Alligator mississippiensis: one gene and its partners. The protein of the gene in region 2 binds, or shares a complex with, the protein of the main gene of each other region. Links are inferred from orthologs where the notes say so. Each region holds a gene or a part of one and is shown on either strand. Other genes may lie near its edges. The genes, in order: CNOT11, CNOT6, CNOT2 and CNOT10.

Region 1 (6,916 bases), on a different chromosome or scaffold from region 2:
CCATTATGTTAATTCAATTGAATCAAATACTTCCGTGATACAGGTCAACACTGAAAACAGGCTCTTAAAACAGTTGTAGGATGAAATTAGTGAACAGGCAATGTTTTTATTCTGGTTTTGAGCATGTCCATTAGTCTGGATTTAAAATCACAATGGCTTATCATTCCTAATGGCTTATCACTAGCCTAAACAACAGAGTTATTCATTGCAATACCTGTAGTTTCATATATTAAACCGGGGGAGGGGGGGGGAAGAGGTGTGCTAATAACGCTCAACACCCTCTTTTTATTCCTAAAACAGGGACTATCATCTTTGAAGAGGACCTCAATTGTGCTCTGAAAACTAAAATGGCTTGCATTACTAATGAATTGTATGTAGTTTTCAGTGGAAAACCTGGTAGCTTTGGTGGCCTAGAAACCATTTGAAGTAAATTAAGAATATGAAAAACATTTTATGACCCTATTACAAATATTCCTTACCGAAGGGCATGCTAACCAGACAGCACTCCCAGTAGTCGCACAGATCACTGCTGTAGTGGTAAGCAACCTGAAATTAATTTGTGAAGTCTGTAGCTGGGGAGGGATGCAACACAGGAAATTCACATGCCCTCTGAAAAGCAGCGCTCTCCACTGACTGCCACAGCACAGACTTACCATTGGCAGGGTCAGGCAACAGCTGCAAAATTGTTATGAATAGTTTTCATACAACGCATTATATGTGGTTAAGCATCCTAATCATTTTGAAAAAAAAAGCATTTTCTGAAATAAATCTGTGTTAGGCAATGGATTTGTATAGGATGGTTTGGATAAGGATGATCCTGCCTCAGGCAAAGGTTTAGACTAGATGACCTCCAGAGGTCCCTTTTCCAGCCCTACATTTTTTATTTCTATGAAACAGCTCATTTATGTATTAAAAGCATACTGTTAAAAAAAAATACATTTGTTCATTCAAGAGCTGAAGACAGGTTACTTAGCCAGTAAAAAAACAGCAATATTTAAAACTATCACTGGTGTAGGCAGGCTTGAGCCCCTGAAATGGGCTTTTGGTTAACAAGCCAACCAATTATGGATTATTGGTTTGTCAAGGATTCTCAACCTGGGATGCCTTGAGATCCTTTCAAGGATGGTGCATGGTGCCCTGCAACGTCAGCACTATTAGGTTTACAAACAGTTCACAAGATAAACCCAGAGGCCACATCCCAAGTGGGAACGTGCAGTTTACAGAGCCTCAAACACTGTATGCGTGCAGTGCATGGTAATCTGCACGCCACAGAATGCAGCACAGCAGCAAAATGAGACACTGGGAAATCCTGGTACCAAAGAAAGCTGCACCAAAAAATAGTAGCGTGGCACATGTGACCTACCAGATGCTGGAGCCTGGCCAGCCAGAGCCACGCTCCAGCTGCTGGCCAAACTCTGCGTGTCGAAACTGCTGCTGCTGGAGCTCCCCCCCCCCCAGCACCCCAGGTAAGGCTGCTGGGGCCAGACCCAGCTTCCCCTACCGCACCTGGGGCAATTTGCTGTGAGTCCAGGGGCGTGCCAGGGGACAACCAGCAGTAGCAATGCTGCTATTGGTCCCTGGGGAAATGCACATTCTTGCTCATGGAGACATGCCCATAAATTTCAAATAGAAACCCGTAACTGTGGTGCTTCTCAGCTCAATACAATACTTGTAATCCCAGTGGGAATCAGTGGCTGAAGAGCTGAGGGGGAGGAGAGGGGAGGGGGGGGATGGGTGCCAGGACCATCCCCAGTCCCAGAGAAAACAGGCGGTGGCTGTAGCTGGGGGAGACAGGGACTGCTAGGGGTGGGGGTTGGGACCAGCAACAGGCAGCACTAGAGCAGGGGATAGGGTGCTGGGGCTGAGCCCAGTCCTAGGAGGGAATGCCAGGGCCTGCCCCACTCCCAGTCTGGGAGGAGAAAGGTGGTGCTAGAGCAGGGGGAAGAGGGGGATGGGGCCGGTCCTGGTCCCACTGAGAGCAAGTGGCTGGAACACTGGGGTGGGGGGACCTTTGGGACCTGCCTGAGTCCAAGTGAGGGGCTCCGCTAGAGCAGGGGGAAGGGTGCTGAGGCAGACCCAGTGCCAGTAGGAATGTTAGCAGGGAGGGATGCTGGGACCAACCCCAAAGGGGAACAGAGCTAGAGTGGGGGGAGCTGATCCCAGTGGGAGCGAGTGGCTGGAGCATTGGGGGGGGGGGGACTGCTAAGACCATCCCCACTCCCAGAGAAGAGGGGCAGTGGCCAGGGCAGAGTGGGGGCAGTCCTGGTCCCAGTGGGAGCTAGTGCCAGTGAGGGTTGGGGCCTGCCCGAGTCCCAGGAGTGGGCAGTACTCGAGCAGCAGGAGGGTGCTGGGGCCGACCCAATCCCAGTGGGAGTGGGAATATTTATTGGGGGGGGGGATGCCAGGGCCCGCCCCCAGCCCGGGAGGAGGAAGGTGGTGCCAGAGCAGGGGGAAAAGGGGATGGGGCCGGTCCTGGTAGGCCGGTAGGTAGGCGGGTACCGGAGAGCGGGGTGCGCTCGGCCTCGCCGCCGCGCTCGGGCGCGGGGTTGAGCAGGTGCGCGAAGACGGCGGCGAAGGGGTTAGCGGCCAGCGGCTCGGTGCGGTACATCTCCCAGAGCAGGTAGAGCGCGGTGAGGCGCTGCGGCGGGCTGGGCAGCAGGTCGGGCTGCTGCAGCAGCAGCACGAGCGCCGAGCCCAGGCGGAAGTGCTCGGCCTTGCCGAAGTAGTGGTGGAAGGCGCCCGAGAGCCCCTCGAACGAGCTGCCGCCCGCCTCCTCCGACACGATGCTCAGCAGGCTCGACAGCTCCTTGGGCGACAGGCTCATCCTGCCACCGCCGCCGCTGCTGCCTGCCGCCGCCTCCCCGGGCGCCGCCTCCGCGCCCAGCTGCGAGCAGGGCGCCGGGCTGCCTCCGCCGCCGGGCATCCAGCTCCCGCGCCGCCCCGCTCCGGAGCCAGGCCGCAAAGCGGCAGCGCGACACTTCGCGATGCTGCCGTCAAGCGAGGCAGGGAGGTAACGGGCGGCAAGGGGAGGGACCAGGGCGCGTCTGTAGTACCGGAACGTGCTGCTGGCGGCATCCCCCGGGAAGCGGGGGGGAGGCGGGATTGGCTGCTCGCGTCTTCCGGAAGGAGGGGATTGGGTCGCCCAAGGAGCTGTTGGCGTCCTCCCGCAGAGGCGAGGGCGGGTGAAGATTGGCTGCCGCGGCTGTCCTTCAAGGAGCCGGGGAGCGGGCGAGGTTGGGTGGGTGGTTTCCTTTGAGGAGGCGGAGAGAGGGCCGGGATTGGCTGCTGCCGGGCTCCGGGGAGGGCGGAGATTGGCTGTTGCTCCAGGGAGGCGGGGAGCGGACGAGGATGCACGCATACGTATTTCAGGACCATATACGGGTGGTATCCCTTCAGGGAGACCAAACGAGGGCAGGGATTGGCTGTTGAGTCCTCCGGGAGGCAGAGGGAGGGCACGAATTGGCTGCTGCTGCCGCCCTTCAAGGAGCGTGGGCGATGATTGGCTCTCACTCCCTGCGGCTAAAAGGACGGTTTTGTGGGCGGTGATTTGCATCCGGGTCTGGTTCAGCCTTGTCTTAGATCTGCTCTCAGGCCTTGGCCTTCGGGCACTGGGAAGGCTCCGGGGCAGACAGGTGCAGTCCAGAGAAAACGGGCTGGGGGTGCTGTGTTGATTTAGTCCGGGGAAGAGGACACTGAGGGGATTTCACAGCAGCCTTCAACTCCCTGCAGGGGGATTCCGGGAGGCAGATCTAGGTGGGCAAAATGTGGCCCGTGGGCTGTATTCAGCTGGCTGGATCTAGCCTGTGGCTGCCTCCACCTAGGGCTGAGCCTTACCTGCTCCTGTGGGGGCAGTCTGCACCATGCTCCCCCCCCCAGCCCTGGACTGGCTACTGCAGCTTCTGGTGGGACTGTTCCCAGTGCGGTTGCAGCTGGCCGGATGCTCCTCTGCTCCCCTCACCTCTGGTGGAAGCAGCTGAGCAGAAGCTTCCCTTCTTCAAGTCAGGCAGCAGGGGCAGGAGGAGGAGTGGCTGCAGAAGGTATGGGGAGCACAAGGCCAGCTCCACTGGAAGCTGCTTGCTGGCCCAAGCTGTTCTGCTCCTCTTGCCTCTAGCTGCAGCCCTTGTCCTTGCCCCACTGCTCTGCCGGGGCAGAAAGTTTTGCTGGGTGGCTTCTGCCCTGTGTATGGAGCTCTGACTCTAGCTCCCAGCTACTTTCTACCCACCTCGCCTGTCTGCAGATGGCTGCTCACCACCACAACTCTACACCTAGGCAGGAGCCATCCAGCTGAAGCTTCCCATCTGCCCAGAGCAGCGAAGCAGGAGCACCAGCGTCAGCTGGAGGCAAGGGGAGCTGAGCAGGCCCCCTGGCCTGAGCCACTGCAGCCTTGCAGTGGGGCTGTTCCTGGTGTGACTACCACTGGCCAGGTGTTACTGTCCTCCCCTTGTTTCCTGGTGACAATGCAGTCCTGACTGGCTGTAGCCATGCTGGGAGCAGCACCCGCTAGAACCTGCATACTGGCTGGGGCCCGGGTCAGGGCTGGGGCTGATAGGTGTGGGTGGGAGTACAAGCTCTGCTGCATATGCCCTCCCCCTCCCTTTGTCCCTGGCTGGCTCCCATGCAGCCCCACACACACACATACACAAGCCCCCTCTGTATACCCCCCCCCCTTCCATCACAACAAGTCAGTGTGTGCAGGGAGTGGATCATGCCTGCCCCACTCCCGAACACTGCTCCCCACCCACCCAGAGCCCCATAGGGAGTTTTGGTGAGTTGGGGAGGGGGGTGCTGACCTGGTCCAACAGCTCATCAAAACTTCCTGTGTGGCCCTCAGGCCCAAATAATTGTCCATCCTGAGCTAGAGCCTGGAGCTAGAGCTGTTCTCAGTGGTGGCAGACAACAGAACAAGGAGCAGTGGTATCAAGTTACAGTGAGGGAAGTTTAGGTTAGAGACAAGAAAAAACCCTCTCAAGGATGGTAGTAAAGCATTGGAACAGACTGCCCAGAGATGCAGTGGAATCTCCATCCGTAGATATTTTTAAGGTCCCCCAGATAGAGTTTTGAATGGGATGATCTAGTTGGGGATGGTCCTGCTTTGAGCAGGGGTCAGATTGGATGACCTCCCTTCTCGCCCTGGTGTGCTATCATTCTGTGATCGTGTCCTGGTCCAAAATGGTCCTGAAACATGAGCTTCAGCTGTGGGAAGCACAAGCATGAAGGCTAGCAAGTTGGGAGGAGATGAGCTAATCATTGATTTGGCTTTCCTTTATTGAAGACCAGGCCTGTATCTAACACCTTCAGTTGGTGGAGATTCCCTCTGAAGACAAGAAAGAAGGGGTTTGCAGGCAGTTGCTTTGTGGCAGACATGGACTCTGTATTTTAAAAAGTCTGTGGAAAAATTAAGATACAGAGGTGGGTAGCAAAGATGATCAAGGGCTTAGAAGGCAAGATATATGAGCAGAGGAGAGGCTGAAGAAGCTTGGCATGCTCAGCTTGTGGAAAAGGTGCTGAAGATGGGACATGGTAGTGGTCTTCACATGCTTGAAGTGCTGCCACAAAGAAGAGGGAAAGCACCTTTTTTATCTTGCAGAGAGGAGGACATGGACCAAGGGCTTGAAGTTGCAGCAAAGTAAGTTTCGATTGAATATCTGGAAAAACTTCTTCACTTAGAACTGTGAGGCAGTGCCTAGGGAAGTTGTGTACTCTCCATCACTGGAGGTGTTCAAGAAGAGGCTGGACAGTCACTGGTTGCAAATAATCTAGGGGTAGCTGTGCCTTTGCTCTACTATAGATATTTCCCAGGCTTCTGGGCTTTGCTGGTTGCCCCTGTCCCCTCCCCCCTTTTCTGTTCCATGGGTCAGGGTGTTTCTATGCCTCCCTCAGAGGCATTGGGTATTGACTACAGCCAGGGCTGGAGACTTGAACTGAGGTATGCCCATGCTTCTGCTGGGACCAAAGGCAGAGGAACTTAGCTAGAGGATCTTGTCCCTGCACTCAGGGTCAGACTGATCTCCACATTTGTGGTCAGGAAGGAATTTTACCCCATGGTGTGGACTACCCCAGACCTCTTGAGCATATACTGACAACATTTCACAGAAGCAGGATGTTGGCTGCTGTGGTTCCCGTGCTTTACCTGTGGCAGGTTAGCGTGTTAGGTCTATGTTGTGTCTGGGTTTATGGTAGTCTTAAGTAGAATTTAGATTATGGATTTATAGGATAGTTTGTATAGGGATGATCCTGCCTTAGGCAGGGGGTTGAACTAGATGACCTCTGGAGGTCCCTACTTTTCCGTAGTTTAATTGTTTTGCCCTGCTTCCAGGGGAAACCCAAATAGGATATGCATGCAGTGATGGCTTGCCATCAAAGGAAAGACTTAAATATGTTTCTTTGAGTTATCTGTAATACTTGCTAACCACTGCATGTTCTTGGTAATAAATTGCCACCAAATCCTGTAAATGGTAAAAGTACACCAATATATCGGTTGCCTATTGGATCGACACTGATAAAAGGGAAATTTACATCATTGGCTTTTTTTGATCGTTGTAGCTGATTTTAAGGCTTTCCTATAATTTATATCTTCTGGCCAGGGCTCACAGATGCCTGGGTTCCCTCCCATGAGCTAGGGTGATCCTGGATACACTCCCATCCCCTAAATTTATTAGGGGAGGTCAACAGGGGAATAGGGGAAGCGCTGTTTACTAGGGTGCCCAAGGGAGTGACTAGGAATAATGGGTGTAAACTAGTTGGGAGTGGATTTAGGTTAGATTTTAGCAAGAAATTTTTCACAGTAAGGGTGGCCAGGATCTGGAATGGGCTTCCAAGAGAGGTGGTGCTATCACCTAGCTTGGAGGTCTTTAGGAGGAGGCTAGATAGTCACCTGGCTGGGGTCATCTGACCTCGGTCCTCTTTCCTGCCAGGG
Region 2 (7,210 bases):
ATAATTTAGTATAAGACTTCCAAAAAGTACATAGCATCTGTCATGTCAATATTTGGCAAGGATTAATAAATTTAGTGTACACACATCCTTGTAGGATGTATAATTATCAATATATAGATTAAAGAACAAGATGTGCTGTTTGACCTAGGGCAGTGCCTATATTAAACTGTCTACATTAGAATTAGGAATGACTATATTAGAATTAGGAAAAAATCCAGATACTGCAGCTCAGTCTGCTGCCTTAAATACATGGATATTCTTATTAGGTGTTAAGCTTTATATTATTTTCTTTTCAACATGACACTATGTAATTGCACTCTTTTTCTGCTCAACAAAAAGTTTATGGAAAGAGCAATAGCTAATATCTGATGTATGCTTAGACACTAACAATAAAAAGGAGCCTTCCTTCACATATTTACTTCTCAAAAGAGGCTAGTAAGAATACTGATTAGGAGCATATGTCTTTATGTATCTTGTGCCTGATCTGATCATGATGTATCTGATATACAACACATACAAAATCCATGGTTTTTGGCTTCATCTGAACCAAGGCTGCCATGTTACAAGCTATTCAATTCTCACACGCATCCAAGATTACATGACAGGATGAAAAACAGAATACTTGTTGACTTCAGCATTCTGCTGGAAGAGAAAACAGAGGAAATGGGCTTTAGGGGAGGGACTATCTTTGTTCTATTAGCACAGAACAACAGGCTTCTGGCCCATGACTGTGGCGTCTAGGCACCAGAGTAATACAAATAATAAATAATGCACTTTGTACTATGCACAAAAAGCCTTGGCCTTCTTAGGTTTGGTCCTATGCTGTGTAGCTGCAATTTTTTCTATATTCTGTTTATTTTATGAGAAGGATGCTTTCTGTTGAAGTGAAAGACTTGTGAATCTTGTTTCAGCCAGCCTTGGAAGTGTTCCTTCCATTTTTCAAGGGGACTTTCTCCAAACAAAACCATGTACCAGGTTACTAAAACAGCTCTTTTCTTGCTCATCTCTGGAATAGCCTGGTCTTAGTGGTTTTTCCTCCACTTCAAACTCAAGGGCACTACATACTTTTTCTTTAATAAAGAGATCTGCATGTGTCAAAAATAGTTACCTGCCCATGCAGTATTATAGTCTCATCTATATTTCAGTTCTTCCTCTAAAATTCAAGCAAAACAACCAGCCTGAACACATCAAGACTGCACCCAGAGTTCAACTTCAATATGCAACACAATAGAGATGCATGGTAGTCTCCTTTGTGCATATGGACAGATCCAAGTGTTTCAGGTGAAAAGTAAATAAAGAGTTAATCCAAATGTGAATGGCTCCATTTCAGTAACAGCGTGAATAAACCCCCACAGAAGGCTTCATTGCTAGCTGCAAACTCCAGAGTCCAGATGAACCAGCAGGAAGAACACAGGGTGGATAATCCTGTAAAATTACCTCAGTGGAAATGTTGATAAATTCCCAATTACGAGACCTGCTCTAGGATGAAAAAAAAATGCAAGATACAATACAATTACCAGTCAATGCTTGCAAACCTTTGCAAGTAACAATTACCACAGGTATTCCTCAATCCCTTGAACTTTGTGCAACTGTCATCTATCACAGTGAAATCCTGTTAAATAAAATAACTCCCTGAAATATGGTAACCAAAGAGCTTCAACCATGATTATAAAGTATATATTTGCCTAAAAGTGACATGAAACTAATTTTCCACCTTTAGATTATTACACAAAAACACCTAAGTTTGCTTTATACATACTTCTCATATTGAAAGAATAATGCATTTCACTTAGGGATTACAATTCCTGTAAACATTATAGGTCAGGTAACCTATAAGAATCAGGTAGATTTTGAAGAAACAGGCTTTTAAGTGCGAGGCCAAACTAGCCTTTAAAAGCTTCAAACCCAGGTAGCTGGATGTACAGCAACTACTGTATCGGGCTTTTAAAAAGGCTTTAAAAAAAAAGCATAAAAACACTAGGTCTCGTACCCAGTTCAGAAGTGCTTACGCACCGCTCATTTGTGCCAGCGTGTGACAAAGGACGGCAATCCCCTCCCTCCCCGCAACTTCTCAATTACGGGAGTAACCAGAGGCACGCGAGCTTCGTCCCCGGACGGAGCAGAGCGCCCGACATCGCTCCCGCTCCCAAAGAGGCGCACGCCGCCCTGCCCGAGACGCACCGAACAAAGTTGTTTTTTTGGCAGGAGCCCAAGGGCCGCACGTCCGGATCCCTCTCTGTTTATCCCTGCATGCGTGTGTCCCCCGGTCTCGGCGGCCCAGTCGCTTACCTGCGTGTCACCGCGAGCCCGCCCCCCCGGCTGCCTGCATTGGACGGCAGCGCCGTCACTCCCGCTCACCACCGCTCTCCCTTTCTATTTCTCACCCAGGCAGAAAGCACTGGCGGTCGCTGCTGTGGCCTTCTCCTCCTCCTCCTCCTCGCCAGCTAGGCCTCGGCTCCAGCAGCCAGCGCCAGTGCAAGCTTCTCCCGGGGCAGGAGACAGTTCCCGTCGAGGCCCCGGTTTTGTTCACTCCTCGCCTCTAGCTCATACATACATACATAAACAGATATATATTTTTAAAAGATGCATCCTTTTTCCAGCTGTCGGGGGGCAATCTGGGAGAGGGACAATTAGCAGACGGATGTCATTTCCCCGGGTCGTGGCGTGTCCCCACAGGCACCCCCCCCCCTGCACCCCGTTTCTCATCAGTGTGCCCCCCCCCTCGCCTAGCTGCCTTCGCCACCGGGTCAGCACCCCGCCATCGCACCCCAATATCCAAGCTCAGGACGGCGATAAATACATCGCCCCTCCCCCCCCTCCATGAGGGCCGCCCCCTCCCACGGGGTGGGGGGCGCGGCCCCCCCCCCGGCTCCCGCCCGTACCTGTGGCTGCAGCATCCCCGTCCCCCCGCCGCCCTCGCTCCGCCGCCTGCCTGGCTCTTTGTTTCCTGCCGCGGGCCGGACGGGAGAGCGGCTCCCCCCAGCCTCCGCCTCCTCCTCCTCACACTCATTGAAAGCAAACAAGCATCATGGCGGCGGCTGCGGGCGCCCCCCGCACCCCCTCCCCCCGCCCCGTGGCCCCGCCCCCGCCCGCGCGCCATTGGCCAGCGCGACCCACGTGACGCCGCCGCGACCGTTGCGGCCGTTGGGCTCCTCAGGCGGTGTCAGGCCTGGTGGCGCGGCGCAGCGAAGTGGAGGTACGTGTCGGGGAGCTGCAGGAGGGAGCGCGCGGGGAGGTCTGCGGGGCTCTGCCGGCGGTGGGGGGCATCGGCCCGGCCAGCCCCACGCTTTGCTCCGAGTCTTACTCGTCCTCCCCCCGGTGCCGGCCTCCCTCGTCCCTGCAGCGCGCTGGTGTGAAGAGGGGTTAGCTATCTCCTTGACTGGGGCACCCTCGCTCCGTCTCCTGTGCGCCGCGGCGGGGAAGGGAGACCTTTCTTTTAATTATTATTATTATTAAAATATATTTCCATAGAGAGAGAGAGAGAAGGCGTCGTGTATGTACATCTTCTGGCTGAAACTTTCCATCATGCCTCTTAAAACCGCAGCGTTTAAATTTGCCCGTGGGAAGGTGGACCTGTCCGTCCATCTGTCTGTCACTTGCTCGCGACCTCGCCCGTGCGTCTGGGGCGGTCGGGATGCGGCGCGCCGTCCGCTTGGGCCCGTTGAGATGTGCCCGGGTCCGGTTAAGGCCGGGGCAGGCAGTTATTTTGGGCGGGGGGCTGCTTACCGATTTTTAGCAAGCCGTCGAGGTCCCGCGTGACGGGCAGCCGGGGGCAGGTCGATATTAATTTTCTATATTTTTTAGGGGCCCGCGGGCTGGATAGACTGGGCTGGCGGGCCGCATCCGGCCCCCGGGATCGCGTTTTGCCCACCCTGCATTAAGGCGAGAGTTAATCGTCGTGTTTAAGCAAGAAGTTCGCAGATGTTCTGTTCTCCTTCATTACGAGGAGCTCTTCTCAAAAAGAAACGAGCGCTCACTGTCTGTACTCGAGGCTGTCCAACGCCGTTATAAGATCCTGTTTTTAACTCGGCGCGTTGTAACCGTTCGAGCTGACGTGCGTCATGCTGGGCGTCCGTTACAGGCTAAAAATGGGTTTTGATAAGTGTCAGTGCAAACGGTTCAGTCAGGTTAAGGAGGGGGGAAATCGGTCCACACTGAAAAATTCGTACGGCTGTTCTTGCGAAGCTTCAATGCTTTGGTGATTGGAGGCCATGCAAGAGACGTGACATGGAGGGTGCCTTTGGTTACCTTTGCTTTTCCCCTGAGTAAACTCTCAAATTTGGTCTAGGTATAAGCCTGTGAAAACGTGTTTCCAGGTGCGCAGGGGAAACTCGTTTGGCTTCCGAATTCTTCAGCATCTACCATTGGGCGGATCGGAGCCAGATGAAATTCAACACCGAGAAGTGTAAAGTGCTGGATCCACCTGGGGACGAACAGCCCCCCAACACACCGGCAGGCTCGGTGACGCCAAACGACTGAAAGGGAGCTGGGGGTAATAACAGACCATAGTACGAACATGAGCCGTCAGCGCGATGCTGTAGCCAGTAGGGCAGATAATACTCTGGCGTGCATCGATCTATGCATCTCCAGCAAAACCGAGGAAGTGATTTTTCCGCTTTCCGCGGCATTGGCGAGACCGCAGCTGGAGTACTGCGTCCAGTTCTGGGTGCCGCACTTCAACGAGGATGTGGAAAAGCTTGAGAGAGAGACTCCAGAGACGAGCCAGCCATACAATCAGAGGCTTGCAAGGCAAGCCACATGAGGAAAGGCTGAGGGACTTGGGCCTCTTCAGCCTATAAAAGAGAAGGCTAAGAGGGGACCTTGTAGCAGCTTACTGCTACATCAGGGGAGTACGTTGAGGGCTCGGCAAGCAACTGTTCACCAGGGCACCCTTGGGGAGAACCAGGAGTAATGGCCACAAACTCCTGGAAGACTGTTTCAGGCTTAACACTAGGAAAAACTTCTTCACAGTTAGGGTATCCAGACAGTGGAATAAACTCCCTCCAGAGGTGGTGCAATCACCTACCCTGGAAATCTTCAAGAGGAACCTGCACAGTCACCTTGCTGGGGTCACCTGACCCCCAGTTATCTTTCTTACCTAGTACAGGGGGCTGGACCTGATGATCTTGCAAGGTCCCTTCCAGCCCTTAACAATCCATGAATTGGTGAGCAGGCTCCAGCCCTTCACAGCTCCTGTATACGAACTGGATTGCATGAGCACCATCCAGCAAGAGTGTGGGAGCATGCTCTGGCTGAGGCTGCATGGTCTGCAGTCTCCTGCAGATGACTCGTTGGTGCCCAGTCAGCGTGGAGGGAGAGGAGGAGCAGCTTGACTGGAATGCAGAGTAATGAGTGGGGTGGGGAAGGAAAGGGGGAATAAGCAGGAGCAGAGAAGATAAGGACCCTGGAAAGGCTTGTGGGAAACTGGAGGGTGGGGGTGAGCACAAGATCATTTGTAACCACTGTAGTGTATTTTTGTGCACAAACTGGATTGGACCCCCAGAGTCCTTTGCAGTTAAGTAGATGGCTGTGAAACCCACTGGCTGAATGTATGTTTCATCACCCTCTAGTGGCAGGTCCACATAGAGCAGAGGTGGGCAAAATGCAGCCTGCCAGCCAGACCTGACCCACCATCCAGTCCATGGCTACCCAGCAATTGTACCCCACCCAGCCCACATGGTTCACCCCCATTCTCATGCCTAGGAGGGCCCTGGCCCTGGCCAGCTCGCACAACTTCTAGGCAGGGCCAGTGCTGCAGCCACCGGGGGACCTGCTTGGCTTCCCCGGCCTCCAGCAACTTCTCGTATCCCTGCTGCAGCACTTGCACCACGGAACAGGTAGGGAAGCAGCAGTGGGCAGAGGAAAGCTGCAGCTCAGTGGGAGCATGGGGCTGGAGCTGGCAGGAGTGTGGAGCCTGCACCCAGCAGGCAGCAGGAACTTGGGTGGATAGGGTATGGGTGAGGGTGGGAGGGCGTGGGGACCTCTCCAGGTGCCCCCTTCCCATGCCTGCCCCCACTGCTAGCAGTATTAGGTGGCAAGCCCTCGGGGTGCTCATTGTCAAGGGGTGAGGCTACTCTTGCAGCCCTTGACAGCTTGCTAGAACTCATTAAGCGGCCCTCCAGCTGAAATAATTGCCTACCCCTGACCTAGAGGATAACAGCCTTCTGTTGCTTCTGGTTACTTTGTTAGCACAACTGGCAGATACCCGAGTTATGGAACTAGTCCCAACCCTGCTAATGATCCAAGTTAAGGCCTTGTCAATATGATTCTGCATGATTAAAACTTTCATTTTGCTCATTTGCAAATGCTGTGAATTGCATCAAATTATTAAAAACAAACAAACAAAAGTGTGTTCCATTGATTTTTGTGAAGTCAAGTCTCAAGACTTACTGCCAGAATTCAGATTACTTATTTAGGGTTCAGTTGTGTATAGGCTTGGTGGGATTTGATTTTTAATGATAAACCTTGATAAAAGTTGATTTCACTTCTTGCACGCTGATGAAAGAATATTTCCATTGTTAATAATCAAAATTTATAGAAGGGGGACATAAGGAAAATGCTGGCTGATGGTGTGTGAGACAACAGGGTGAGCAGTCCTACAACACTTCTGACTCATTTGGACTGTAACTCCCAGAAACCCCAGGGGACTGGGAGCAAAGGAAGAGGAAGTGACAAAGCAGACAAGGGAGCTACAGGCAAGCCAAGCCAGGACTGATGGTAGCTCTGTTATTCAGCAGAGAACAGTCCTACAGTAATGTTTGTTGTGGTGGGCAGGTAAATCGCACTATAATAATAGTATACTGCCATTAATAAATTGTCTGTTCCCCACATCCCTAATTTCTCATGGTCCTGAAAATTTAAATAGATAAAAATTGAAGCAAATGCTTGAAAATAAACATTGATGCTATCCATCAAAATCATAAAAAAATTCTGCCAAGCCTAGTTGTATATTACATTTTTGTAGTACTCCTACTTCTTAGTGCACAGGATGGAGCTTGCTTTGAGAGTGATTCATGGTTGAATTAGGCCATTGTCTGTAGGAGCATTTAATTGCTGATGCTTTCTAGTACATCTGATACTACAGCATCAAAGCAATTAGTCTAGGGCTTGTCTATACTACGAAGCTCCTGTTGCTTTAGTTACGCTGGGATAGCTATGTCAGCAGCATGCCCCCTCCCCCCAGTGTAGATGTAGCATACACCAACAAAAG
Region 3 (7,329 bases), on a different chromosome or scaffold from region 2:
CATATTTTATTGGTATCCAACCTGTTTGCATGTCCTTCTGTCACTGTCTATATCTGAGGCCAAGGATAGCCATACAGATTTTTCCACGTAGAATGATACGGTTGAGCAGCATGGTAAATGGGATGCATAGGCCTAGCTGAACCATGGTTGTACAATGAAAACTCAAATGAGTGCCACATTTTTCCAAACCATGTTGGGGGCTTGTTCTTGATAGTTCCTTCCCAGAAATAGAACTCCTTCCTGTTCTGGCCTGTCACAGCCTGAGCCTGGATGTTTCTTCCAAAAATATTGTAAACCCTTTTTGATTTGGGCAGGCCTTTTGCTGGCAGGGTTGAGTTTTGGATCATTTTATGGAGCGTTTGTTCTAATACATATTACTTTTGTTTAATATTTTAATCTGTCTTTATAATTTATCTGGGTCTTTATTGTAAGTCACCCTAAGCCTGTCTTTGGGAGAGCAGCATATACATAAATAGACATTCAGGCCCTGATTTGACAATCGTGGATCTGCGTCTTCACAGAGCCAAGGGCAGGAGAAGTTTTCTATTAATGCTGCTCTTCTTGTTTATACTTAGGTGTGTCAGCAATTTAACTAAATTTGGTTTACTAAAATGTGTTTAAAATTTGCCATGTCTATTTAGTTTGTAAAATAGGCTACTCTTCAAACTACAGTAAAGTGTGTCTACATACAAATTTGAATCAGTCTACCTTAAATAGGTTAGAAACACACACACTGAACCAAATCAGTATGCCTTTGCTTGGAGACAAAGCCTTACACGTGCAAGCTAAATGGTAAACCAGGCTTCAGTTGAATTAGAAATGTCTACACATGGGTTTGCACTCATCTAACATGGTTTAAAATGCATGCCTAGTTAATAAAATGCTACTTAGTAACAGAACAGACTTCAGCCTTGAAGAAAAATGTACTTAGCCAATAGCAGAAGTTGCAAATAGGCGAACTCACTACATTAATCACAGTCTGTTGTTATCTATTTATCAACTTCAAAGTCTTTTTAAATTGCTGACAACTTTCCTGTTCTCTAAAACAAAACAAACCAAAAAAGAAGTCAAATACACATATTAATTGTAATGGTAATGGTCTACAATGAAAGATAGGAAGTCAGGGAACATAGCAGTTAAGGTTTTTAGATTAACATTAATTTACACACATTGGGACTGATTAGGCTACTTAACAAGTAGTATCTGTAGAACAAAGAAATTATTTTCTGTGATAAAACTGAATGTTTGTGCTTCCTTCCTGAATGTTGTTGAAATATGTAACCTAAATGTTGTACAAGTACATACCATTTTACACTTGAACCCAAATTTTGTAATGGATGCAGGGACCAGCCCAGAAAGAGGTAAATATAAAATTGGATGCTTAGTTTACATGCGTCACACTAGTGGATATCATATCTTTACATCAATTTTCTTTTTGTGGAAATTTAACTAAAACAATGCTTGTGAAAAGTAAGCAGAATGGGGAGAAGTCTAAACTCAAATTTAACAGAATAAATCTCAGGGTGTAAAAGGCCAAAAATTCTCTTTAATAATTTTGCAGCTGTGTAGACCAGGGGTTCCCAAACTGTGGTACATATACCCCCGGAGGTATGCAAGACATCTCTGGGGGTATGCGGGAGAAATTGTGAACTGGTGGATTTAATTTTCATTATAATCATAATTGGTATTTAAGGGTTTAAAATATAAAACAGATGCTGGTAAGGGTACATGGGTAGCTGGTAAATCTGGAAGGGGGCACACAATACGAAAAAGTTCGGGAACCTCTGGAGTAGATTAAGAAGATTCATGTATTGCTCTTAGTCTAAAAACAGAAGTCCACATTTTTTCATAAAAGGTGTCTAAAAGATTCTTATTTTTTTCCCTTTTTAATTTTTTTCTTTAAACAAACAAATAATAAACCTCCAAGCCTTGAAGGTACATTTTTGCTATTTTATTTATTTTTAGGAACTGCATAATTTTTTAAACAGAAAAAAGAACTATGATAGCTTGTTCTGACTTATGCTTGTAAGATCAGAAAAAACAGTTCTGATCAAATTGAATGGAGGCCTTAAACCAGGTTGTATAGTTATAGTAAAAAGGTGTCATTAAAGAAACATTGTGTATTATTTTGCCCTCAAATATTAAATTTCTATTTACACATTAAAATGTTTGTTTATAAGGTAGAGTTTTGGGTAACCTGCCCTCAATAAGGTTTCTTAGCTGGAACAGGCAGGAAGCAGGGTAGGGTGGCAGTTTAGAGATTATTAATTAATTCAGAAAGGAAAGCTTCTGCAGGTGAAATCTACTTTAGGGGTGTCAACCTCCTGCCTGCAAGCCAAATCTAGGCCATGGAGCCATGGCATCTGGCTTACAGAGTTCCCCATGGATTGGGAAATTTGGTGGTAGGAAAGGATAGCTACACCTTTCCGCTGCTGCCAAATTTTCAAGCCCCACATATCTGGATGCAGGCCCAGCCAGGTCAGTCTGTTGCCATGTAGACGGACATGGGTCCCCCCACCCAGGTTGCTGGATCCAGCCAGAATGGACCTGGGCTGTTGGGGTGGTCCATGGGCCGGATGGGCCCTTGCTGCGTCTGCTCCATGCTCTGGATTGTGCTTGCTGTCTGGATCCAGCCTGCAATCAGACCTTGCACTGCTCATCCAGCCCCTAGTCTACTTAATTGGAAACACAATAGTTTATGTGTTTTTGAATCAGTTAAGTCTCCAAATTGCTACCCTGTCCCACTTTCTGCCAGACTTTAGACTAGCACGGCTAACTACCTTTCTATACTGTTAGCTGGAACAGTAAGACAATTTTGAAACTGTAAGAATCAAACCTGCCTGAGTAAATGACAAAGTATGAAGCCTCTTTTATTACTGGAAAAAAAAAAACATTAAAAAAATCAGCCATTAGTGCCTTTTTTCCTCGTGTTATTTCTTAATGCAGCTACTTCAGATTAAAAAATTATGACAATTAAAATAACAATAGTCTATGAGTTTTATTCTTTTTGTTTTAAAGGATGGGGAAGTTCAGCTATTATCAGGTAAGCCTTATGTGCCGACTTAAGCACCATTGTAGCCCCACGGAAGTTAGCATGAATATTCACACTAGTTATGTCTAACCTAGTGGTGGGCAACCTTTTTAGACCGGAGACACCCTTTGATAAACTCAAGGCACCTTCAGAAAATATCGGCTCCTAGTTTTCAAGTGTTTCTTAATGACGGAAAAATAGTAGAGCCATTCTTCCTTTGCGAAGAACTCACAAAGACTGCAACAGTTCAGTCTTGTCGTAACACTGCCAATTCCCATTTGAAACCTCTGGGTTTACTGTGCAAGTTTGGATCTGCACGCCTCACAGTGCTAATGCTGTGTGGCACCCCGTTGCACCCTTGAAAGGATTTCAAGGTACCCCAGGGTGCTGTGGCATCCAGCTGGAGAATCACCCGTCTAACCTGTCTGGGTCTGGAGGGTTGGGCCCTTGTTATTTAAGCCAAGCTTGAAGGTTGTGATGTGAAAAACCTCCTGGGTGCCCCAGTTAAGAGAAACTACATGGTGCCCCGAAACCGCTCTGACAGCATCTGCCTCAGGTGCCGGATGGGACAAGGTGGCCAATCGGACCAGTGGCCCGGGCACGAAAAGATTTGGTTTCTGACTTAGCCAACGGGGACTGCAGGGCCGCTTTCCTGTCCCTCGTCCCATCACTGAGCAGCATCCACCGGCTCCTTGGAGTCTCTGGAGGGCCGCCGGGCACTGTCCAGTGCACTCTGCTCAGCTCCACTTTCCCAATCCCTGATTCTGAACCCATGACCTTGCTCCCTTCCCTGTTTCCTTGGCTGTTGTGTCCCAAGGAATTGGCCGTCGCTTTCTCAGGGGCCTCCCTCCTTAAGGGCGGCTGATAGTCACCCTTGATCCCCTGAAAGTAACAAACAGCCTGTCCCTGCCGCCTCCGGCCTGGGTCCCTGAGGCCCCAAAGCGGGTGGGATCGGAGCCCCCATGAGAGGAAACATGCGGCCCACCCCTGCCTTTGCCTGACCAGGGACAGGCGGCTCCACCGGCGGGGCTGCGTGTGCGTGGGGCCGGGTCACGGAGCAACTCCCCCCTCGGTGTGTGTGTGCGTGTGTCTGTGCCTGTAACAGGGCCAGGCCCGAGCCGAGTCGGGCCGGGGGCGGCAGGAGCGCACCGCACCGCAGCGCCGCGCTGCGCAGGGGGCGGAGCGCCGCCCCTCCCCCACACGGGTTGCCCGGCGGCAGCGGCGGGGTCACGGCGGCGGCGGGGTCAGAGGGTAAAGGTCGCTCCCCCAGCATCCTCCGTGCTGGGGACTCAGCCATCTTGGATCGGCGGGACAAGAAAATTCATGCGGTGAGTCCGGCCCCCCGCGCCCCCGCGGGCTCCGCGCTGCGCCCTCCCCCGCCTTGCCCTGGCCCGCGGCCACCTCCGGAGGGCCCCGCGGCCGCCCCGGCCTCGCCCGCCCGCGCCGCTGCCCCCCGCCCGGCCACGGCCCCGGGCCCAGCCGCGGCCCCGGCCCGCCGGGCTGCCGTTTGCTTTTGTCTCCGAGGGAGCGAGAGGGAAGCGGGGGGAGGCGCGCGGCGCCCGAGGCCGGCGCCCCCCGGGCCCGCTGCGCGCAGGACCAGGCCGCGGCCGCGGGGCCCGGAGGCCGCGTCGCGCTGCGCTCAGCGCCGGGCCCGGCCGCGGCCGCCGCTCCTCAGCGGGCCCAGCGCGCCCGCTGTCGCTGCCGCCACCGCCGCTGAGCCCGGCCCGGGCTGAGGAGAGGGGCCGAGCCCGGGGGACTGGGGGTGTTTTCCGGCGCTCTCCTGCTGGAGACGGGGGGCTGAGCCGCCCGTCCCGGTGTTGGGCGAACAAACTTGAGAGCGGGCCCTTCGCTTCCCTTCCCCGCAGCGGGCCGGGGACACGGGGCTTCGCCTCCCTGTGCCGGCAGCCGGGCGGGGGTAGCGGGGACTGCCAGGGGTTTGTGCTCGGGCCCTGCTTGTGGGGGTTTCTGCTGGAGGATGCCCTGACCTGCTCGCCAAACCAGCCTCGCTTAGGGAGAGGGAAAGAGAAGTCCGCCTGAAGCCACAGGTAACTTTTGGCTGAGCTCTCTTCCCTCTGGGGTAGAACTTGAGTACAGCCGTGGTGTCTTCCTCCCCCTGCACCTTCAGGGAGGTGATTGCCAATAGCAGCTTTTGACTTTAAAAAAAAAAAATTAAAAATCTATTTTGTTGGAGAAACTTAATCTCTGCCCTGCTGCTCTCCAGCTGACACTTGGCAGTGGTGTCACATTTTCACATCTGCCCGAGTGTGCATGGTGTCTTGAAGGCAACATTTGTTCATAGTCTTGATGGTGCTAAAGTCTGGTGGTGGTGGTGGTGGGTGGCTGCTGGGCTTTATTCTTCAACCAGGTGATTTAAGGGTGATTGGACTTGCTGTCATACCGGCCAATAGGAATCATGCTGCTGGGAGGGAGGGTTAAACTGTTATGGCGTATAGATCTAGAATAGTAACCAAAATGCGGCTATTTCGATTTTTATGGCAAAAGTCCTGTATTTAGGCCTAGGAAGGACTTTGTGCAAGCAGCAGTGTTCTTTGAGTCTCCTCTTAGAACGGGACATTTCATCACTGTCTGTTGTTAATAGAACAAGGTTTGCAAGATCTTGTCCTTGTTTCTCGAGTACTGGTATAACAGCATCACTGCTCGCCCGGAGAATTCCTGATGGTATGTTGTAAGCTTCCAGACTTCAAGGTACCAGTCCTTTTATTACGAGGGAATTTGAATGCTTCACATCACAAAGTAATTTGTCATTGTCTCGCAAGTGGTATTTTGGTTTCATTTTCAGGAAGTTGCACTGAAGCTAATGACGTTGTGGTGGAAAGAACGTTTTGTTTTGTGCATCCTTCTCTAAAGAGTTGTAACTACTTACTTATGAAACTCTGTGTTAGGAGAATCTGCTCCTTGTGCCTTAACTGTTAATGCTAGTCTAAAGTTATCTGAGAATTTAAGAAAGGACTTTAACAGCTGGAGTGCCCAAATTAAGATGTCATTTGGAAGGGCCCAACTTCTAAAGAACGAGTACTTGTTACTTCCTGAACATCAGATCCCATAAAAGTGTTGTCAGTTGGGCAACTTAGAGTAGCCCTAGAACCCTGCTCACATTTGGTAATGTTGGTCTTTAGCGCTAGCTCTTTGTGAAAGTTGAGAGTGCCATTTCACTGAGTTAACTGACCATAGGTCTGACATCAAAATTGTTTATTTTTCCTCCAGTCTTGCCTGTGTGTTGTCTATCTAGACAGGATTGCAGGCTTAATTTGTTACAGTTTAATTTTGTTGTAAAAATACACTTTCATCTCCTTTGGAAGTCTATTTTCAGTACTAAAGTTTGAAAAAAGTGGGTATTGTCCCTTATACTGAAAGTGTACCTTTTAAAAAAGCATTCTCCAATAGTTTTCTCACAATGTAAAATATTAAGATTAAACCCAAATTATTTATTTTTTCAGGTCAAGTCGGCAGTGTTAATGGGATTTGTACACAAATTCTACACAAGCATTCAAGGATAGAATTTGGCATTAAGCTTGTAGGATCCATATTTTTTTTATAGTGCTATGTAAATGGCTGTGATCTGATCTGTTATTATTTTGGGGAGAGGGATTTTCCTTGTGACAATCCAAAAAATTCAATGAAGAATATATGTTGGTTACTACCTTCTCCACCCCTCCCCCCATGTTGGTTTACTTCTGTTGTGTTTGTGCATATTTATAAATGTTATTCCAGACTGGAAGAACTTTTAGTTTTCCAGTGTAAGCCTGTCTAAACATGTTACACTTTGTACCAATTAACTTTTTTTTTTCTTTTTTAAGAAGTAGGTGTTTGTTCATAATTATGCAGGATCAGGTTGATATTTCTATCATTTATGCAAAAATGCAGCCACTAATATTTGCTGACAAAACCCAACAATTCAAGGTTAGGGTAACTTAGACTTGCTAGCTAATAGAAAAATAATCTTAAAATGCTTACAAAATTGTTAGGCATTTTGACTTTGATAAAATATTCTGTCTGTTTCGGTGAATATGTTTTCAATTAAAACATCTTGTTTTTTTAATATGTGTAGTACTTCAGAATGGTTTGTTTTTATTTCAGGTTCCTGTGTTAGAGGGGTGTTGTACTTTTTTTTTTTTTAAATGCCCCTAAAAAGTGACCTAAAGTGTTGCTTTGGTTAAGGTTCTGATCCTACAATTATTTATGTACACACTTAAGTAGGATTCTTCATTTGAATAGTAACTTACTGACAGATGAGCACTTGCTGAGGAATTTGCAGGAGTTAGACCTACATTTGTGTT
Region 4 (7,555 bases), on a different chromosome or scaffold from region 2:
GACTGCATTGGCCTTGGCTTGGGGGTTAATGGGTGAAACGCAGACCCCACCCTAGGTGCCGCTCCAGCTCCCTTTCACCAGGCCTGGCTGAGGTTGCACGTAGTGGCCTGGACTTAGTCCTCAACTGTCAATTGACCCATTTCCATTGACGTTACTGTTTTTTCTTCTTTAAGGTTTCAACCCCCATATAAGTACCACCGCTGATAGAGCTACGCTGCCGTGCATTGACAGGCTGCCTGTGTCTTTGGTTTTTCTAAGAAGTTTGTATAGCAAGTCTCTTCTCCGCTCTTCCCGATGAAATCATCATTAGTCACCAATATAATACGTGTCTGATCCGATACTTGGACTGTTCTGGTGATGTGGTCCAACAGCTGGAGTTTATCCTTTCAGCAAGTGAAGCTAGAATCTCCAAAGCTTCTTAGTTGTTAAAATCCTCCATCTACTTTTCATGGATGATTGACTTAAAACCAACTTTATTTCTTTATTCTCACAGGGTTGAGGCTAAAACATTTTACTTCTGGTTAGAAACTTGTGAGGCCAACTTGACCATAGAGAAATTCAGTGAAACAAGGGTTTATCTTAGGAACCAGTTTAGCCGTAGTTACTGTGTTACTAGAAGCGATGCTATAATCACTATGTCAGATTGCTTATTCTTTGTGAAAATGATTGGCACAGTCTCTTTCAGTTCAGACATTGCAGAAATGCGTGTGGCATGGATGAACCTTCATTGCATGGGATGATAACTGTGTTTGCATGTGGTGAAGTAGCTTTTTAGATATTAAACTCTTCATGAGGGGGAAAATCAATGCCCAGTACTTAAGATACTAAGAAAGATGTGGTTATTACTGTAACCAGTTGGCTCAAAGAGAAGTCTTACCTGATAGTCACCCATTGAGCTCGAATCCTCAACATCTTGAGTGTCTCTCTTGACTTGCTGCTTGTCGCCACTGCATACTGGCTGTTACCTATAGGTGAACCATCTGAAGGAATGGTGGCTTTCTTTCTGTACCTCTTTGTCTGCTTGGGGAACTCTGGCAGCATGGGACAAATTATGACAAGATTTAATGATCTTGTAAAGGACACATTTTCCCTGCTGGGTGCACAAAATAACTTGGTCTGTTTGTTGGAAATGGAGGATTATAATAACTAAGAAGTTTTGGAGAGTTCGGCTTCATTTGCTTAAAGAACGAGCTCCAGTGGTTGGACCAGGTCAGTGGGTGGTCCAAGCTTTGAACCAGATATGTTACATTATTTTGCTGGCCAATGGTGGCTTTGTCTGGCAGAGCAGAGAAGAGGTGTGGCAATGGATGCAAATTTATTTTGGATAAGAAATTATCCTGCTCAGTACTGATAAAAAATAATTTCCAATTGGAAGGGATGTAAAAATAGGGTTAAAAAGAAAGGTTGGGGTGGCAAATGGATACCTTTCGCATTGAAGTTGTAGCTGTTAGCTGTGGAGGAAATAGATTCTGATGCATCTCTTAACCTGAGTGGATGGCAAATGAGCAGGCGAGTCTGTGGCCTGTTTAGGCTAGGTGAGTCTTCAGGGAATCCAATCTCTAATGTAATATCAGGGGAAAGGTTTCTGTTGCATGAGGTTACATCTAAGAAGTTTTTGCTTTGATATCAAAGCTGTCTGGAGCTCAGGTTGGTCTTCTGCAGATACTTTAGTTTGTTGTGTGTTTAAAAAAAGTACTGCTTCCAGAAATGAGCTGAAATAAGTAGGAGAAATGGATCGAGGTTATGGAATGATTCAGTGGAGGACAGTTGACGTTGACTTTTCTAATTTAGATATTGTAGTGAGCAGAGTTTAGCGGTATCTGGGTCTTCCCAACAATGCAAGCTGTAAGGCTGCTGAAATGAGTTGAATAATTTCTTGATTTCTTCAATCAAGCCCAATAAAGAGGTGTTATATCCTAAGACTTCAGAGGATTACTAGGATGTTCCACAAATAGTCTAGTCACTGCCAGGGCTGCCTGCTCTTTAAGGGTATATATATTTAAAAAACACGTTCTCCTAAACCTAATCTTCTAAGTTGTTCTTGTTAACTACTTCCTAGAGAATTATTTTGCCATTAGTACAAATAAGAAGTTTTAGAATACAAAAAGGACAACCAACTATTCACTGTGTCCACAAGGGAAAAAGCCAAAAATGATGGGCTGAAGTTGCAACATGGGAGGCTTTAGGTTGGACGTTAGGAGGAACTGTCTAACTATGTGGTTGGATAAGTACAGCAACAGATTACTTTGAGAAGTTGTGGAATATCCATCACTGGAGGTTCTTAAATGCAGGTTATTTTGTTTTTCTGGTTTAGCTTCTGAGATAATTTGAGCAGGCAGTTGGATTAAATCACCTTCCAGCCTTGTTCTTCTTTGATTTATAGAATACTAACTTTCTGGCTTTTACTTGACAATCTTGTCATGCAATGTTGAGAGAATGAAGTGGGCATGCCTAATTTGGGGAAAAGAGATTAAGGGGACATGATGGCGGGTTTCAAATATTTGAAAGGTGACCATAAATGAGAACACCTGTACTCTTTTACCACAGATGACAGAATGCAAAGCAGTGGGTTTAAATTGCAGTAAAGAAAATTGAAATTAAATCTCCAGTAAAAAAACTTCCTAACTCTAAGAACTATAGAAAATGAAGCAAGCCACCTGAGAAAGATGTAGACTATCCTTCATTGGAGGTTTTCAAGAAGAAGCTGGATGGGTATCTGTATTGGAAGGTTTAGTAATACTGCATCCTATAGCTTCACAGGGGGATTGGACTAGATCAGCGGTGTCCAACCTTTTTGAATGTGGGGCCGGATTGTGAACGTTTTATCACCCAGTGGGCAGGCGAGCCAGATTCAAAGATCTTGCAGGAAGCGGTATCACATCACCTCCCCCCTGTGCGCCCCCCCCCCCCCCCCCCCAACAAAAGTACACTGTTTACTTTTGTTTCCTGTCACAGCACCTCGGGCCTCAGAAAACGGCTTGGAGGGCCGCATAGCGGGCCGTATGTTGGACAAGCCTGGACTAGATGAAACTTGAGATCCCTTCCAACTCTATGATTCTGTCTAATTTCTGTACTGTGAGCATGTGTGGTGGTTGGAAAGAAACTGTAGAAACTCTTTCAAGCTTCCTTGACTCATTTGTTGAATGGATGGTAGGACTAGCTAAGGGCTTTGGCAGATGCAGGGTTTTAGGTCTAATGCAGGGGTGCTCAACCAGATCCAACCAGCAGTGTCATGTCATTTGGTCCACACTGCTTCCTGTGTTTCTGGAAATTTGGCAGTGAGGGATCTGTGGCACCACTCCCTGCCAAATTTCCAGACCCATGGAGAGCCCTAGTCCTGCGTGCTGTATTGGGCACCTGATCCCAACACACAGGGCTGGGAAAAGGTGGCACAGGGCCCCAGGGAGGCTGGCAGGGATGTGGAACCCTAGGGCCCAGTCCTGGTACATGGGGGCCTGGAAGGGACAGCCTTAAGGCCTGATCCTAGCAGAAGAGGGTGGCACCATGTCCCAGGGTCTAATCCAGCCCCACACTGCTCATCCCGCCTGTGGGGCCAAAACTTGAGCACCACTCATGAAAGGTAAATCTAAAAAATATTACATTGAGTAGAATTCCAAGATCCCCCAGGTATTTAACTAGTCTCTTTCCTGTGTAATCTTCAGAATTGTGGCTGGTACTTAAGGTGATCTTATCATAAACTTTGTTTTTTATCTGAAGAGTTTTCTCTGTTGTGACTTTCACAGTTGGCCTCAGCTCTGGTGAGTTTCTAGTTTTTGAATTGTGGGCTCAAATTTTAAGTTAGAAATAAGATGATGTTATTGAAATGTGTCCTTCTATGTTGTAGAATCATAGAGAAGTAAGCCTGGAAGGGACCTCCAGAGGTCATCTAATCCAACCCCCTGCCTGAGGCAGGTTGGTTATCCTTATCCAAACTGTCCCATACAAACCATAATCTAAACTCTACGCAAGTCAGCCCTGAAATAATATAGACCTAACACCGTAAATTGCCACAAGTAAAGCAGGGAAGCCATTGCAGTCAGTGTCCTGCTTCTGTGAAATGTTATCAACATATGCTCAAGAGATGCCAGATAGAGGGTCAGGGTCATGCCCCTTGCTACAGAGGAAGGCAACAACCCCCATAGTTTGTAACAGTGTGACCATGGGGTAAAATTCCTTCCTGACCCCAATTCTGGCAAATTGGTCTGACCCTCGGTGAACGGACAAGGCCCTCTAGCCAGGAACCTCTGGCAGGTTCCAGCAGGAGCACTGGCACACCCCAGTCAATTAACGTGCATATACATTGGTGAACAAAAAATATTAAATATGTAACCTTAAATAGTGTCTATCTTCCTACCCATGCGATACCTTCTATCGTCCCAGCAAATGATGTACATTCATGCTAAATGTTAGCTACTGAAGATCTGTAACAGACAACCTATTCCAAACGATTTAACACTTAAGAGATACCAACCAATGAATATTTGTTTTCATCCATTTTCAGTTTAAAAGTTAACCCCTTCTAAGTTAATAATGCAAAATCTGAAATATATTTCCTGAATAGGAAAACCTATTTGAGAATAGTTCTGTGAGATGAATTTTACATTCTTTTTGGGGTTCTGATTGTATATTCAGTGCATAGCAGTGGAGCGTTTTGCTTCTATTTTTAGTCATCTTTAGCATGTACATTTGCTACATTTCTTAACATTAAGGGAACTTAGCAACTGGGGGACAAGTAGTAGCATACAGATTAAATTAGGTAGCTATGCGGAATGAGAGAGATTCCTACAATAGTTTTTACCAGCTACTGGTATCAAAATGTAAGTAAACAAAATGTACTTTTTACAATGTAAAAAAATTCTCCAGATATTTTGGGGGGAGCAACTCAAACTCCAAAGTTGTTGTACTCTCCAAATTGAATTTAGCAAAGATAGTGTTGTAGTTATGTGTAAAGGTGCCCTAAGTATTAACAAATGGATTTTGAGGGAGGGAGGAATGAAATATGTAATAAAGATACTGAATTATTTTTATTAAATTTAATTGCACATATGATGAAAGCTATCTATTTTCTCTAACCCTTTTAATTTTACAGATCAGGGAACTGAGAAACATGAAGGAGCCACTACTACTTCTGGAATTTCTGATCAGGAAAAGGAGTTGTCAAATAATGCACTACAGGCTTTTGTGGTAAGAAAAGTCTTCAGTTTAAAGATTTCTCTTATATAATTTTGTTCAACATTTACCTGTTTATTCCCATATTTCCTAGAATATTAGGACATGTACTGAGATACTAATTTTGTTTTACTTTCTAACAGCAGCATTATGAAATAATGACCATCACTTATATGAACTTTGATATCTGTTGTCAGACAATAAGAAGAAATAGAGCCCTTAGATTTAGGGTTACCTAAACAGAGAAATGCAAGCACGTTTTTGGTTTTTTTTTCTTGGTTCCCAGAGTTCAGTCATGAGCTTGGCAAAGTAAGCTTATATACGTAGTCCTGGAAACACTCAGACAGCAAGCTTTTTAATTGAATCTTTTACTCCATAGTTTGTGGGTGCACATTTCTTATTCTCTATCTCGTTTTGTGTAAGCCATTATTTTTTGGGTCATGTAGATTATCTAAATAATTTGAAATGTGTTATCTTTCATCCTCCTTGTCCATTTTGTATTATCATAAGTCAGCACTGCACAATATTTTTTCTAAGCTGTTAACATGAAATGAACAGATTTATTTGTAAGACTGGGGAATGATCAAAATATCATAACCCAGTATTAAATGTTTCCACATTCACCTGTCCTGTTTTTAATATCCCTTTTGCTCATTTGAGGCATGATCTTCACATGATGGGAAGGGGTCCTGAGGGGATACAGTGAAAGAATTTCTTACAATTATTCATACCTGAATTGACTTTGATCTCCTTTTAGTTTCATCTCCAGTTCTACAATTGGCCAAACGTACTTTGCTCATCTATGTGTGATAAGACTTTAACAATCCTCTAAGCACAAGAAAAGATAACGGGTTGTAAGGTAGTGATGAATGCAGACAAAATGAATCTAGACTCCTAGTTGTCAGTTTTCCTTTAGTATGGAGTTATGTCAGATAACCTTGTTAACAGTTTTGCCTTACTTCCAGCACTTTTTTTTCTCATTTACTGCACTTATTTTCAAGTTACTTGGTGTTGGCAGAGTGGAAGAGTAATGCAAAGTACAGTAGGAAGCAGTTAAATTAGACTTGATTTAATAAGTATTGTCCAAGGTGACCAGAACCTGTGAAGGGCTAAACCAGGGGTAGGCAACTCCTGGCACAGGTGCCAGAGCATGGCACATAAAGGCATTTTGCTTGGCTTGTGTGCCTTGGCATGGACAGTGGGGAAGGGAGCAGGGCTGTGCTGCCATAACAAGGATTGTGGGCCCCTTATGGCTCCCCCTCCACTTACCCCTGGCATGCCAACATCTTCCAAGTTAAGGTTAAAGGTGTTTTTGGCACTCTGCCCAAAAACATTACCAGTGCCTGGGTTTAGCAAGGCTTTAGATACGGTTTCCCGCAGCATTCTTGCAAGCAAGGTAAGGAAGTATGGGCTGGATAAATTGACTGTAAGGTGGATAGAAAATTGGCTGGAGCATTGGGCTCAGACAGTAGTAATCAATGGCTCGATGTCTAGCTGGCAGCTGGTATCAAGTGGAGCACCCCAGGGATTGGTCCTAGGGCTGGTTTTGTTCAACATCTTCGTAAACAACCTGGAAGATGACAAAGAGTGCACCCACCACAAATCTGCAGATGACATCGAGATGGGGGGAGTAATAATATGCTGAAGGGTAGGGCTAGGATTCAGAGTGATTTAAGCAAATTGGAAGATTGGGCCAAAAGAAATCTCATGATGTTCAACATGGGCAAGTGCAAAGTCCTGCACTTAGGATGGAACAATCCCATGTACTAGTACAGGCTGGGGGCTGACTGGCTGGGCAGCAGCTCTGCAGAAAAGGACCTGGGGGTTACAGAAGACAGTAAGCTGAATATGAGCTAACAGTGTGCCCTTGTTGCCAAAAAGGCTAACGGCTTACTGGACTCTTGGTAAATGTGTTGTCAGTAGGTCAAGAGAAGTGATTATTTCCCTCTGTTCAGCACTGGTAAGGCCACATCTGAAGTGCTGTGTTCAGTTTTGGGTCTCCACTACAGAAAGGATGTGGACAAATTGGAGAGAGTCTAGCAAAGGAACAACAATCTCAAGTTGCAGCAAGGGAAGTCTAGGTTAGATATTAGGAAGAATTTTCTCGCTAGGAGGGTAGTAAAACACTGGAACAGGTTAGCCAGAGAAGTGGTGGTAATTCCATCCTTGGAGGTTTTCAAAACCAAGCTAGATAAAGCTTTGGCTGGGTTGATCTAGTTGGGAATGGTCTTGCTTTGAGCAGGGGGTTGAACTAGATGACCTTGTGAGGTCCCTTCTAACCCTAATTTTCTAGGATTCTGATTAAACCATTCAACCTGAATTGGGACTAGGATCTGTGTGTCTGCAGCCTGAATTTAAAGGGATGCTTCTATCAATATCCTGGTTC

Evidence for each region.
Region 1: CNOT6 (region 2) and CNOT11 share a complex: the UniProt entries of both Homo sapiens proteins name them as parts of the CCR4-NOT complex. The link is inferred for Alligator mississippiensis from reciprocal best matches to the Homo sapiens genes CNOT6 and CNOT11.
Region 3: CNOT6 (region 2) and CNOT2 share a complex: the UniProt entries of both Homo sapiens proteins name them as parts of the CCR4-NOT complex. The link is inferred for Alligator mississippiensis from reciprocal best matches to the Homo sapiens genes CNOT6 and CNOT2.
Region 4: CNOT6 (region 2) and CNOT10 share a complex: the UniProt entries of both Homo sapiens proteins name them as parts of the CCR4-NOT complex. The link is inferred for Alligator mississippiensis from reciprocal best matches to the Homo sapiens genes CNOT6 and CNOT10.

The regions. Positions count from the first base shown.
Region 1 is NC_081824.1:344,728,285-344,735,200, reverse strand, and holds the start of CNOT11 (CCR4-NOT transcription complex subunit 11), read right to left. Parts: upstream 3,001-6,916; 5' UTR 2,924-3,000; coding exon 2,500-2,923; intron 859-2,499; exon of another isoform or gene 490-858; coding exon of another isoform or gene 480-489; intron 1-479. UniProt on the Homo sapiens protein: Component of the CCR4-NOT complex which is one of the major cellular mRNA deadenylases and is linked to various cellular processes including bulk mRNA degradation, miRNA-mediated repression, translational repression during translational initiation and general transcription regulation.
Region 2 is NC_081832.1:73,962,535-73,969,744, reverse strand, and holds the start of CNOT6 (CCR4-NOT transcription complex subunit 6), read right to left. Parts: upstream 3,004-7,210; 5' UTR 2,883-3,003; intron 1-2,882. UniProt on the Homo sapiens protein: Poly(A) nuclease with 3'-5' RNase activity.
Region 3 is NC_081827.1:70,446,904-70,454,232, forward strand, and holds the start of CNOT2 (CCR4-NOT transcription complex subunit 2), read left to right. Parts: upstream 1-4,322; 5' UTR 4,323-4,359; intron 4,360-4,976; exon of another isoform or gene 4,977-5,076; intron 5,077-5,630; 5' UTR 5,631-5,707; coding exon 5,708-5,737; intron 5,738-7,329. UniProt on the Homo sapiens protein: Component of the CCR4-NOT complex which is one of the major cellular mRNA deadenylases and is linked to various cellular processes including bulk mRNA degradation, miRNA-mediated repression, translational repression during translational initiation and general transcription regulation.
Region 4 is NC_081828.1:142,098,260-142,105,814, reverse strand, and holds the start of CNOT10 (CCR4-NOT transcription complex subunit 10), read left to right. Parts: upstream 1-4,554; 5' UTR 4,555-4,762; coding exon 4,763-4,817; intron 4,818-5,089; coding exon 5,090-5,184; intron 5,185-7,555. UniProt on the Homo sapiens protein: Component of the CCR4-NOT complex which is one of the major cellular mRNA deadenylases and is linked to various cellular processes including bulk mRNA degradation, miRNA-mediated repression, translational repression during translational initiation and general transcription regulation.